2 linked regions of the Caenorhabditis elegans genome follow. The protein of the gene in region 2 interacts with the protein of the main gene of each other region in a pairwise test. Each region holds a gene or a part of one and is shown on either strand. Other genes may lie near its edges.

The links. The genes of interacting proteins can lie anywhere in the genome.
Region 1: the proteins of ciao-1 (region 2) and ciao-2B interact in a two-hybrid assay, tested with the Caenorhabditis elegans proteins (one large-scale study listed by BioGRID).

What each region holds. Positions count from the first base shown.
Region 1 is NC_003281.10:13,436,538-13,441,541, forward strand, and holds ciao-2B (MIP18 family protein F45G2.10), read right to left. Parts: upstream 3,008-5,004; 5' UTR 2,989-3,007; coding exon 2,906-2,988; intron 2,135-2,905; coding exon 1,978-2,134; intron 1,542-1,977; coding exon 1,374-1,541; intron 675-1,373; coding exon 600-674; 3' UTR 517-599; downstream 1-516. Other genes in the region: F45G2.9 (rRNA methyltransferase 2, mitochondrial), read right to left, coding at 67-283, 338-375; cua-1 (P-type Cu(+) transporter), read right to left, coding at 3,384-3,757, 4,370-4,834.
Region 2 is NC_003279.8:12,852,536-12,860,113, forward strand, and holds ciao-1 (putative cytosolic iron-sulfur protein assembly protein CIAO1 homolog), read right to left. Parts: upstream 5,747-7,578; 5' UTR 5,728-5,746; coding exon 5,577-5,727; intron 5,439-5,576; coding exon 5,297-5,438; intron 5,093-5,296; coding exon 4,968-5,092; intron 4,907-4,967; coding exon 4,818-4,906; intron 3,441-4,817; coding exon 3,270-3,440; intron 1,787-3,269; coding exon 1,626-1,786; intron 834-1,625; coding exon 659-833; 3' UTR 541-658; downstream 1-540. Other genes in the region: mxt-1 (Eukaryotic translation initiation factor 4E-binding protein Mextli homolog), read left to right, coding at 278-397; clec-104 (C-type lectin domain-containing protein), read left to right, coding at 6,964-7,236, 7,284-7,389.

The DNA.
Region 1 (5,004 bases), on a different chromosome or scaffold from region 2:
ACCTAACGAGACCCAACTTTTGGGGGCACAACGTTTTTTTTTCTAAAACTAATTTTAATAACTTACTTGTAAATCTACACCCGATGCATATCCATTTGGACACTTCTGCACAACTACTTGAAGCCATGAGCCAGGTGCACATCCAATATCGATTACAGTACTCTCCGGTTTCAGAAATTTGAATTTCTCATTAATTTCGATTAATTTGAAGGCGCTCCGTGCTCGGTAATTGTGCTCACGAGCTTTAACCGCAAATTCGTCTGTTGATTGCCGTTGAATATATCTGAAATTTAAATTTGAAAAATAAATTTATATTTGATGGGGGAAGAAAACTCACTTGTGCAAATTTCCTTGTGATTTTTTCGTTGAGAACATCCTGACACTTTTGAACATTTTTTTTCGAATTCTTAATCACTAATTTTTCAACAAAAAAATAAATTCCCTGAATCTAGATACTTTTCTGGTGATTTTTAAATCTAACCTATGAAAATGAAAATTTCGACAAAAAAACTAAATAATTTTAAACACGTTTTTATTCGAAACCTGATAGATAGGCAACTTTTAATATCACAAAAACTTTAATCTGGATCTTTTTTTGGTTATTCTGGAACTCTGAGGCATTCGTTAACAGCGTGCATTAGTCCTTGATTTTCCATTGCAGCAGCTACTCGTTCCTAAATGAGACATTTTGAATTTATGTTTTAAAAATTAACTTTTTGAGGGGCTTGCTTCTAAACTAAAAAATACAATGTTTTAAATTTTTTTTGAATTTTTTTATTGGTTTATTCGGAAACTTCGGTCTTATTTTCTATACTTTAAAATTTAATTTCAAAAAATTTCGAAAATAAAAAATGCAAAGTATAAAAATAGACCGAAATCTCCAAATAAACCATTAAAAAAATTAAATAATTTTTAAAATGATTTTTTTGCCATTTTGCAATCAAAAAATTCAAATTAATGTTTTCAGACGGTTTTCAGCATAAAATATTAAGAAGAAATGTTGAATTATCGAATTTTGGCGAATTTTAAAGTTTTAGTGATTTTTTTAAATTTTTGCGCAAATTAATGCCCGAGTTTTGAAATTACGTTTTTTGGCAAATTATGATTTAAACTTTTTTTTCAAATTTTTTAGACATTTTCTAGCAAAAAAAAAAGCTAATTACATAGTTTTTAAAAATTTTTAAAGTCGTTATTTACTATTGATTTTTCCTCATTTTACATATTACTATAGTTCGAAACAGTTTTTTGCCAATTTTACAGGCGTTTTTCAGCAGAAAAGTCAATTTTAGAGTTTTTTTTCGATTTTTTTGCAAAAATAAATGGTTTTTAAATTATATAGATTTTACTATTTTCATCAAAAATTAAAAACTTACCTTGTCGGCCAACTGCCTGTTAATTGATTCTTCCGTAGAATGTGATCCTGGAGTGATTGAAACGCTAACTTTAACTTTCGGATGCAAAGATCTCAAAAGTTTCACTCGAATCGCCAAACCGATTAGTGTTGCCATACTGCAGTGTGGAATGGTTGGTGTGAAATTCACCTGAAATTTTTTTTCAAATTTAAAAAAAAATTAATTTTAAATTACCAATCAATAATTTTCTCGCAATATTTTTCATTAAAATTTAGTGATAGAAGGTAGAAAAAAAATATTTGTTTTACCTGAAAAAAGTTTATTTCAGTTGGAACAATTGGGAAACGCTCAAGAATTGTCTGATATTTGGAAAAATCAATTGTTCCAATTTAAATAAAAGCAAGATAAATCAACTTTTTTTATCAATTAAATCAGTATATTTTGATTAAATATATCAGGAGAGCCCTGCATTGCTGAGACCAATTTTTAATATTTTTTCAAGCGCATTTTTTTCACTTTTTTCCAATCAATGCTGTAGAATTTCTGTTCAAAGATTGGAAGCTTCTTGGAAATGTTTTGTAAAAAATTGTAAAAAATTTTAAAGTTATTTTAAAATTAAAGTTACCTTCACAAAGGTCTCTTCTTCGTCGATAAACACTTTGATAAGCTCCTCTTGAACCACATTTAACTGCTCGAGAGTATATGGATGCTCTGGATCGTTGATATCTCTGATCAGATCGAAAATCTCCCACGAATCGATTGGATCTTCGACGCTTTCATCTCTGGAATCATATTTTTTGAATTAAAAATAATGTAGTGGAATTGAGAGCCAATTTTTACAAGCGAAACAACACAAAAAATTCATTTTTCGATGTTTTCTATTTTTTCAAGGAAAATCAAAAACTTAAAAAAAACTCAGCAGAAAATTCTTTTTTTTTTTAAATTTAATTTTGTTTAAATAAAAACGTCTTCTAAACAGAAGAACAATTATCAGAATTTTTAGCTAATTTTAGAAAAATCGAAAAAAAATTCGAAATATTGGAAAATCGAAAAATCTAAAAATCAAAAAACGGAAAATTTTCGTTTTTCGATTTTATTTTTTCGAAAATCTAAAAACCGACACTTTTGACACAGATGTTCTGGAGCTTCAAAGTGTCAAAAATTCATCTCCTCTTCCATTTTACTGGAATTTTTTATTTAAATGTTTGGATTTCATGCGATTTTTCGTATTTTATCGTGTTTTTGTTAAATTTATTATGTTTTTCGTTTAAATAACAGGTAAAAAGCGTTTTTCTTGATTTTTCTGTGTTTTCAATTTAATAATCGAAGTAATTACGTTTCAAACTATAAATTTTCATTTGAAAAAATACGAAAAATGGCTGAAAATTCGAATTTTCAATTTATTAATTCGCTGTTTTTTTGCGGAATTTTTTAAAAATTCTGTACTTTATTTATATAAAAACTTAACCGTGAAAATATGCTCTTTTTGAATTCAAAGTAAACTTTTAACGATTAAAACTTGATTTTTGCGTTAAAACCCTCCAAAAACCAACCTTTCAGTGCCAGTAACAGGTCGATGACGTGGTTTTGAGTCGAAAAGTGTTGGATTTGCATTGTCGAGACGTTCTTGGCCCATTTTTATGTGATATAAGCCTGGAAATTAAGCTGGAAATGGAAAATGACGAAAAAATATCGGTGGCCTAGTGGCCGTGGAAGAAAAAACAATACATATGTAGTTTTTGGCGAAAATTTAAATTTGAATAATTTTTTGTTGCAATAATTTCCAGAGATATAAAAATTTGAAAAATACTTTGAGATTTAAAATCAAAAATTTATAGTTAAATTTTTAAAAAATGTTTATTAAATTCGATTCAAAATTTGGAAAATACAAGAAAATAAGGCAAAAAATCACAAATTAAAACAATAAAACCGCGTAAAAAATGGAATTTGGTCGGTATGTGTGTGATGAGAGTGAGATGACGAAACGAAGCACGCAAAATGTACAAAAAATTGGATAAAAAATCAAAAAAACTACACAATGAGATCCTCTAAATCTGATCCAACATTATCCAAAAGTCGTTGCTTTTTCGAGCTCCCAGAGCTCACGATACTTGTTGTTGAGCCGAGCAGTGAGCCAACTTTTGAGCTTAATATTGATAATTTTGAAGAAGCAGCACCTCGAAAAACAGCCGAATCGTCTAGGCCTCGATGCACTTGAACTTGGAAAGAGCCCGATTCGAGGAACTTCTGATGTCGTTTGAAGCTCGTCGTATAGAGATTTGCAATCGTTGGTTTTCGGAAGTTTTTGAGTAAAAGTGAAGAAGAAACCACGGAGACACTGGAAAGAGCCATTGCAGCTGCAGCCATCCATGGTTGAAGCATGAAGCCAAATGGGCGGAATACACCTGGAAATTTGGAAAATTATTAAAAGTGGATTGTTTTTTGTTATTGGAAAAATAGCGTTTTCTAGAAAAACAATATTTTCTTCTTTTTTTTTCTCAACGAAAATCAACGAAAATTTCATTAAATTTTGAATTTTTCAAATTTTCCAGACAAAAGTAGAAAATTTCCGTTTTTTTCTCGAAAAATAGCTTCAAACTTAAGCTATTTTTCTTTTTTTTCAGAAATTTTTTTTCTTAAGTACTTCTCAACAAGATAAACCGAATTTGATAAAATTTTGAATTGTTTAAAAATTTTCTAGACGATTTTTCGTTTTCCGGGTATTCGAAAAGTCGAAAAATTTTGATTTTTTTTGTTCGAAAAAAAATTACCCGGGTTTTCGAAAAATAGCTACAAATTTTGACCAATTTTCTTTTTTCAGAGAAAATATAATTTTTAAAGTTTTTCTCTTCAAAAAAAATTGATATTTAAAATTTCAAATTAAAAAAATGTTCTAGACATTTTTTTTCAATTTTTTCGTTTTTCGGAAAATTGAAAATTTTTCGACATTTTTAACACTTTTTATTCTACCATTTGAAATCGGTTTTTTTGTTCGAAATAACTTTTTTAAAATTCACCTGCAGCAATCGGAATTCCAATCGCATTATAAATGATTGCAAACAAAAAGTTCAATCGAATCCTTCTCGTCGTCATTTTCGATAGCTTAATTGCTCCAACAACATCCACAAGATCATTTCTAACAAGTACGATTCCAGCTGACTCAATTGCCACGTCACTTCCTGCAGCAATTGCGATACCAACATTGGCTTCTGCGAGAGCCGGCGAGTCGTTGACACCGTCTCCAACCATTGCAACTTTGTTTTTGTATCCTTTCAATTGCTTAATCTTTTGTTGCTTTTGATTTGGAAGAACTTCTGCGAATACTTCATCAATTCCGACTTGTTTCGCAGTTGATTCTGCAGTTTTCGAGTTATCTCCTGTGAGAAGTACGACACGAAGACCCATTTCACGTAGAGTATAGATTGCAAGTGATGCTTCTTTTTTAACTTGATCAGCAATTGAAATTACAGCAACCACTTCCGCTGAAATAGTTAATTTGTCAATAACTACAGCTGTTTTGACAGACGAAATTGACTTTTTTCATTAAAAAAAAAGGATTTTTTCAGTGGAGTAAAAGAATTTTTAAAGCAAGATCCAAGAGCAAGATCCAAGACCAAGAAAAATATACTAGTTTTTTTTTGGTTTTTCTTTG
Region 2 (7,578 bases):
CTACAGTAGTCATTTAAAGAATTACTGTAGTTTTCGCTACGAGATATTTTGTGCGTCATATATGTTGTGCAATACGCATTCTCAGAACTTAGTGCGCCCGTAATAATTAATCGACTAAAAAATGAATTTCAGACTATATGATTTTATCGATTTTTCGTCTGAAATCTTTAAAAAACCTATTTTCAACGTCGTTTTTATCCGCTAGTCGGCAATAAAAATCGATTTGGTTGAAGCTACCAGGCTACAAACTACAACTTATATCGATTTTCCCTTCCAGAACCCGATCCGCTACAATCGTGACACTCTAATGACCGCCCGTGACACTAAACGTGCTCCAATTCCGGATGAAATGCTCCAAGAAATCAATCGAGTTGCTCCAGACATTTTGATTGCTTAATGTGTGAATTCTAGTATTTATTGCTTTTTCCCCTGAAAATTCTTAGTTTTAGCCACTTTTTTATTGTAATTTTCCAGCATCTTTTCATTATTTTAACCCCCGGGGTGTGTGTGATAACTATTCCAAAAATTGATACTATGAGCTGCTATTTTTTTAAAAATAATTTTATTCTATTCAAAAAACAAACAATGAACACAATCACAGTTGAAAACTACCGAAAAAAAATTAGAAAAAATCAACAAAAATTGAGGCAAAAAAAAATCAAATTTCGAGCTCCCAGAGCCGAATTGTTCCGTCATCCGAGGCCGAAGTGAGCAAATTTGAAAATTTCGGATTCGGGTTCCATGCCACGTGGTTTACGTCAAGCTCGTGGCGGCCGACAACTCCGAGGTGCTCAATGACTGGAGATTCGGGTGTGGAGGAGATTTTGAATAGTCTGGAAATATGATTACAGTCGTGGGCGGCAAACGAGTTTTTCCGGCAAATGGGTGATTTGCCGGAATTGAACATTTCCGGCAAATCGGCAAATTGCCGGAATTGCAAATTTCCGGCAAATCGGCATATTGGCAAATTGCCAGAATTGAAAATTTCCCGCAAATCGGCAATTTTGCAAATTGCCGAAATTGAAATTTTCGGCAAATCGCCAGAATTGAAAATTTCCGGCAAATCGGCAAATTGTCGAAAATCAACATTTCCGGCAAGTCGGCAAATTGGCAAACTGCCGGAATTGAAAATTTTCGGCAAATCGGCAAATCACCAGAATTGAAAATTTTCGGCAAATCGGCAAATTGCCAGAATTGAAAATTTCCCGCAAATCGGCAATTTGGCAAATTTCCGGAATTGAAATTTCTGCCAAATCGGAAACTCGGCAAACTGGCAAATTGCCCGAATTTAAAATTTCCGGCAAATTGCCAAAATTGAAAGTTTCCGGCAAGTCGGCATACCGGCAAAACGCCGATTTGCCGGAAAAAACGGCAATTGCCGAAAATTTTCGGCAAATTGTGGTTTTGCACATTTTTTTAAAAATAAAATATTCCGGCAAATCGGCAAATTGCCAGAATTGAAAATTTCCGTAAAATTGCCGGAATTGAAAATTTCCGGCAAATCGGCAAATAGCCAAAATTCAAATTTCCGATTTGCCGAATTTGTCGACAAAAAATTTGCAAATTTACAAAATTTGCCGGACTACTAACTACAAATTTCTCCAATTTTTCAACACTTTTCGTACCTAATTTTGCAATCTCCACCACCGGTGGCAATGACGTCATTCGTAGAATTCCAGGCCACCGAATACAACGGCCATCGTGTATTTTCCACATCATAACGTGCCACAGACTTCCACGTGTCTTGATCAGCAGATTTGGAGCCAATGTTCTCACGAACGAAAAGCTGTAAAAGAGCATTATTGTTGAGGCCAAGGGTGTCATTTTTCGATTTTTTGATGTTTTTCGGTGAAAATCGAAAAATCGAAAAAAAAAATGTTCAGAAAATTAGCCATAAAATATGATTTTTTATTTAATTTTGTTTATAATGATGAGAAAAAAATTAAAATTTCTTCTAAAAAGAAGAATAACGGTCAAAATATTGAGCTAATTTTTGAAAAATCGAAAAATTTTGGTTTTTCGATTTTCTAAAAAAATCAAAAAACCGACACCCTTGGTTGAGGCTGTAGGGAAAACTGCAACTTTTTTCGAACGAGGGCCGAGAAAAAATGCGAAAAATCGGTGTTTGCACACAAAACACCGCATTTTACGACATTTTCTACTTGCTTTGTTTTCTTTCGTTTTTCACCGATTTTTCCCGTGTTTTCTTATTAAAACTGATAAATACATATTTTTTGTTAATACTAAAATAATTTCCAGATGAAAAAATTGTGAATTCAGCCGGCAAGTAGCGGTGAACGTGGTCAATGTAATATGATGGATTACGGGAATACAAAACCCAAACTTTTTCCCAAACATGATACATATGATGTTTAGATGCTAAAAGTACCTGATTTTCATAACGAGACCGCTGAAAAAGTTTTGAGATTTTCAAAATTCAACTTTTTTGGTAAAAAAGTCGAGATTTTGGCACAAAATGTTGAATTTTGAAAATCTAAAAACTTTTTTAGCTGTCTCGTTATGAAAATCAGGTACTTTCAGCATCTTAAAAGCATATATATCATGTTTCAGAAAAAGTTTGGGTTTTGTATTCCCGTAATCCATCATATTACATTGCCCACTTTCACTGCTACTTGCCGACTGAATTCACAATTTTTTCACTTGGAAATTGTTTTAGCATCTGCAAAAAATATTTATTTATTTGTTTTGATAAGAAAAAACGGAAAAAATCGGTGAAAAATGAAAGAAAACACGCAGAAAACAAAGCAAGATAAATGGCCGCTGAAATTTGTCGGGGACTCGGCCATGGCCTAGAAACCTTTTTGCCTCGTCCCTCGTTCGAAAAAAGTTGCAGTGTATTGTTGAGGCCAAGGGTGCCATTTTTCGATTTTTTGATGTTTTTCGGTGAAAATCGAAAAATCGAAAAAAAAAAATGTTCAGAAAATTAGCCATAAAATATGATTTTTTATTTAATTTTGTTTATAATGATGAGAAAAAAAATTAAAATTTCTTCTAAAAAGAAGAATAACGGTCAAAATATTGAGCTAATTTTTGAAAAATCGAAATTTTTTTTCGAAAAATCGAAAAATTTTGGTTTTTAGATTTTTTCTAAAAAAAATCAAAAAACCGACACCCTTGGGGTTGAGGCTGTAGGGAAGTTTGTAGTTTTCTACCTGAATACAATGATCTTTTTTGTAGTTTTCTAGTTTGTAGTTTTCTACCTGAATACAATGATCTTTTTTGTAGTTTTCTAGTTTGTAGTTTTCTACCTGAATACAATGATCTTCTCCAACAGTCACAAGGCGATGTCCTTCAGTGTCAAATGCGATGCTCCATACAGTTCCCACGTGACATCCGTCGATTTTCTGTTGTGTTACCCAGTCTTCGCCGTCGAATCGGTAGAATCTGATTGATGAGTCGTAGCTGCATGAGACGAGAAGCTGGAAAAAGATACGTAGACTACAAACTACAACTTTTTGTGTAGTTTGTAGGACAAACTACAAACTACAATCTAGAAAAGCCTCTGGTTGAGCACAAAAAGTGCAGACTTTTTTTTTGAAATTTTTTTTTTTCAAAAAACTTTTAAAAAACTTGTTTAATTTTCTGTAATTTTTTGAAAATTAAAATGTATATATTTTTCATATTTTTATAAATTTTTGTTGTTATTTTTTCGAAAAAAAACATCGAAAAATCGGAAAATTTTTACGATTTTTTTTCTTTTAAAAAATTGTTTTTTAATAATTTCAGGTTTTTTCAACTTTTCGAAATATTTTTCCAATTTTCTCAGAAAAAAAAACCGGAAAATCGCAAAATTTTTAGGGTTGAGCACAGAAAGTAGCTTTTTAAATTTTTTTTTTTGTGGAATTTCCAAAAAAATCGTTTTTTTTTTCAATTTTTTTGAACTGATATCTTTTGATAATTTAAGGTTTTTTTACAAAAAACCTCTTCTCTGATTTATTATTATTTTTTAAACCGAAAATTGGAAAGTTTTTAGGTTTTTTTTGGAATTTTCGGGAAAAAACGTTATTTTTTTAGATAATTGTTTGAAATTTCTCTAATTTTTTCTCATTACAATTACCAAATTTTTAGTGGAATTTCCAAAAAACATTTTAAATTTTTTTAAAATTAAAATCAACTTTTTTTTTCAATTTCTTGTGATTTTCTGATTTTTTTTATGGTTTCATGTTAAAAAAAAATAGAAAAATCGGAAAATTTCCTTTTTTTTGGAATTTTCGGAAAAAAAAATAATTTTTTAGATAATTGTCTGAAATTTCTTCATTTCTTTTTTCTCAGCACAACTACCATATTTTTTGAAATAAAATATGATTTTTTTTTTTTGAAAAATGATTTTTTTTTGTTTTTTTAATTTGGTTTTTATAATTTTTCCAAAAAAAAAATTCAATTTTATCTGAAAAAAACCGAACAAAAATTTTTTTTTTTCGATTTTTTAGAAAATGTTCAATTTTCGTCCATTTTTTTGAAAAAATTCTAGCGATTGCCGAAAAGTATCGGAAAAAAAATCATTTCTTGAAAAATATTCAGAAATCTATAAAAAAATGTAATTTTCCGAAAAAAAAAAGCCATTTTGGTTTTTTTTAAATCAAATGGAAATTTTTTTAAAGTTCTACAGTTATTGGAAAAATGTGTTTTTTAAAAATTATTTTCTCAAAAAATTGAAATTTCAAAAAAAAAATTGATTTTTTTTAAATTCAATCAATTAAATTCAATCAAATTTCGTAGTTTCTAGTCTACAATCTTCTACAAACTACACATTTTGTAGTTTGTAGTTTGTAGTTTGTAGTCTCTGCACCACTAACATCTTCAGTTGGATGCCAGGCGACTTGTTTCACGTCCTGTGTGTGTGGCTGTAGAATCGATGAAACGCTGAAATCCTCGTCCTCGTCCTCTGCAAAATAAGTGGTTGAGACTACAAACTACAAACTACAAACTACAAACTACACACTTACGTTGCCAAAACCAGACACTTTTATCTCTGCTACATGTGGCCAAAAACTCGTCACTTTTCGAGAAAACTGCACATTTTACTTCACTTTCGTGTCCTTCTAGCTTGTTGACTTCGGCGAATTCTCCGCTGAAAATTGTAGTTTGTAGTTTGTAGTTTGTAGTTTGTAATTTTTTTTTTAGATTGCCACTAATTTTATCGATTTTTCACGATTTTTTATGCTAGAAACGCTAAAATTATGCATTTTCAACCAAAAAAATTAAAATTTTCTTCGATTTCTATTTTAGTTGAGGTTTAGACTACAAACTACAACTTTCTAAGCTAAAAACTCACTCTTCCTGCTGATAAACCACGACGGAAGCGTCAAAACTCGCAGAAACTAGACATTTTCCGTCATTTGAAAATGCGACTGATCGAACCGCCCGTGTATGACTGTCATCCAGTGTTGTACGACACTCCAGACGCATTTTTGAATCTGAAATTTGGGAATTTTTAGAGATTTTCGAATTTTTTAAAGGAAAAAATCTGTTTTTCGATAGATTTCCTTCGTTTTTATGTTTTCCACACCGCTGATCACGATTTTCTGCACAATTTTCAATAAAAATTGACCAACCAGGCTCTCCAACGAGGCTCCAAACCCTGACAGCCTTATCGTCGCCGCAAGAAGCCAAAATTCGTCCTCCATGATGCCAACACGTCATCCAAACTCGACTTGTGTCATCTTTCTCGCCTTGGTGATAAAATTCACCGATTTGTCGCAGCATTTTCCGGTCTGAAAATTGAAAATAAATTTAAAAACTTTAGAAACAATATTTGAAGGAAAATTGCGAATAAAATGAGCGTTTTGTGTGAAATTCCGGGTGAAATTGATGGAAAATTTAAAAATAGCTGATTTATATTTTTAAAATAGCAAGAATCTTAAGAAAAACTAGAAGAAATGAGAAAATTGCTGAAAAAATCGCGATAAAGAATTATCCAAAAAATTCCAGTGCAGTCGCGCTCCATCGTCACGCGTTAGAGAGTGAGAGGGCGCAGAGAAGATAAGACGAAAAACGGCGCGAGACTTGGAGACCCGAAGAACTCGGGGGATGTCCAATTGGGGGGATTACCAACTCGGGGGATTGGCCCCGCCCAAAGAACCGTGGCTTGCAATACGCCCATTTCTGCAACTGCCGCACGGTTTTAAAATTATTTTTTCTTGTTAATTCTCGCTCTATTGAGAAAAATACAGTTTTAAAACCGTGCGGCAGTTGCAGAAATGGGCGTATTGCAAGCCACGGTTCTGTGGGCGGGGCCAATCCCCCGAGTTGGTAATCCCCCCAATTGGACATCCCCCGAGTTCTTCGGGTCTCGAGACTTGAAAATTAGTTTTTTATTTGGATTCAAATTTGAACTGAATCAGGAAAACGCTCTGAAATCGAAAGGAGAATTTTATTTTTCAAACTTTGGAATGAAAAAGTATAAAATTTATCATTAATTCGTGAAAATGTGTGCAACGGCAATTTAAAGGCACATACACAACTTTTCTGGGCGGGTCTCGTCACGATCTTTGTCATTTCTAAAGCTACAGTTTCCAAAAAAGCTCAAATGATTGAAAATGCAAGCATTAATGTTTAATATTGAGTTGGAGACCAGGAAGAAGAAAACCATTAAATAAGTGGCCGAGTTTCTTATTTCGCGGCCAGGTTCGTTCAAAAAGTTCAAACATCGCGCAAAATCTTTGAAAATTGCAAAAATTAATGTTTGATGCGGGAAGTTGTTGTAATTTTGCAAGCATTTGCAATGAAATGAGACCCCTCCGAACGGAGGGGTTGATCAATATAAAACAGCGATTTTTTTAAAGAAATTTCATAGATTTTTTTTTTGGTTTGTCGATTGTTTAAACATCACTTTGTTTTCTTAAATTATCAAAACTTTTACAATCCCATTAGCAATCTGCGCACAGTTCCCGAAACCGTGCGCAGCTTACAAAATGGGCGTGGTTTAATATGCCTTTAGGAATGAGATCCATCCTGCTACTCCTACTGGCGGCATCCATAGCTTCAGCTATCTTTGCTCCTGGAGCCAGCGGAGGTTTTGGAGGTGGAGGTTTTGGGTCACGATCATCATCATCATCATCAGAAGAGGGACGAGGACATCACGGTCACGGCCACGGCCACCATCATGGAAGACCCCCACGGCCACGTCCACCACGTCCGCCAGTATCAAGAGAACCCGAATGTCCAAGTGATTGGTTGTCGTTTGACAGACCTCAGGGAGTCTGGTGTGTCAAGGTGAGCGAGCTACAAGTGCTAGCTCTTTATAGTTTGTAGTCTTACAGGTCTTCTATGAATCACTCACTCAGCCCATCGCCGAGAGTAGGTGCCAGGCACAAGGGGCCACATTGTCCGGATACCAGAATGCCAATGAGCGAATGCAAGTTTCATGTGAGATTTGTAGTTGTTGTAGGCTGGGACCTATCAACCATTATCACGAGGTGCCAGGCTGTCCAATTACGGATTGATCTACAAAAAATGCGGGAATTTTGTGCCCAGCAAAAATATGTGACGTCAGCACGTTCTTAACCATGCAAAATCAGTTAAAAACTCTGCGTCTATTCTCCCGCATTTTTTGTA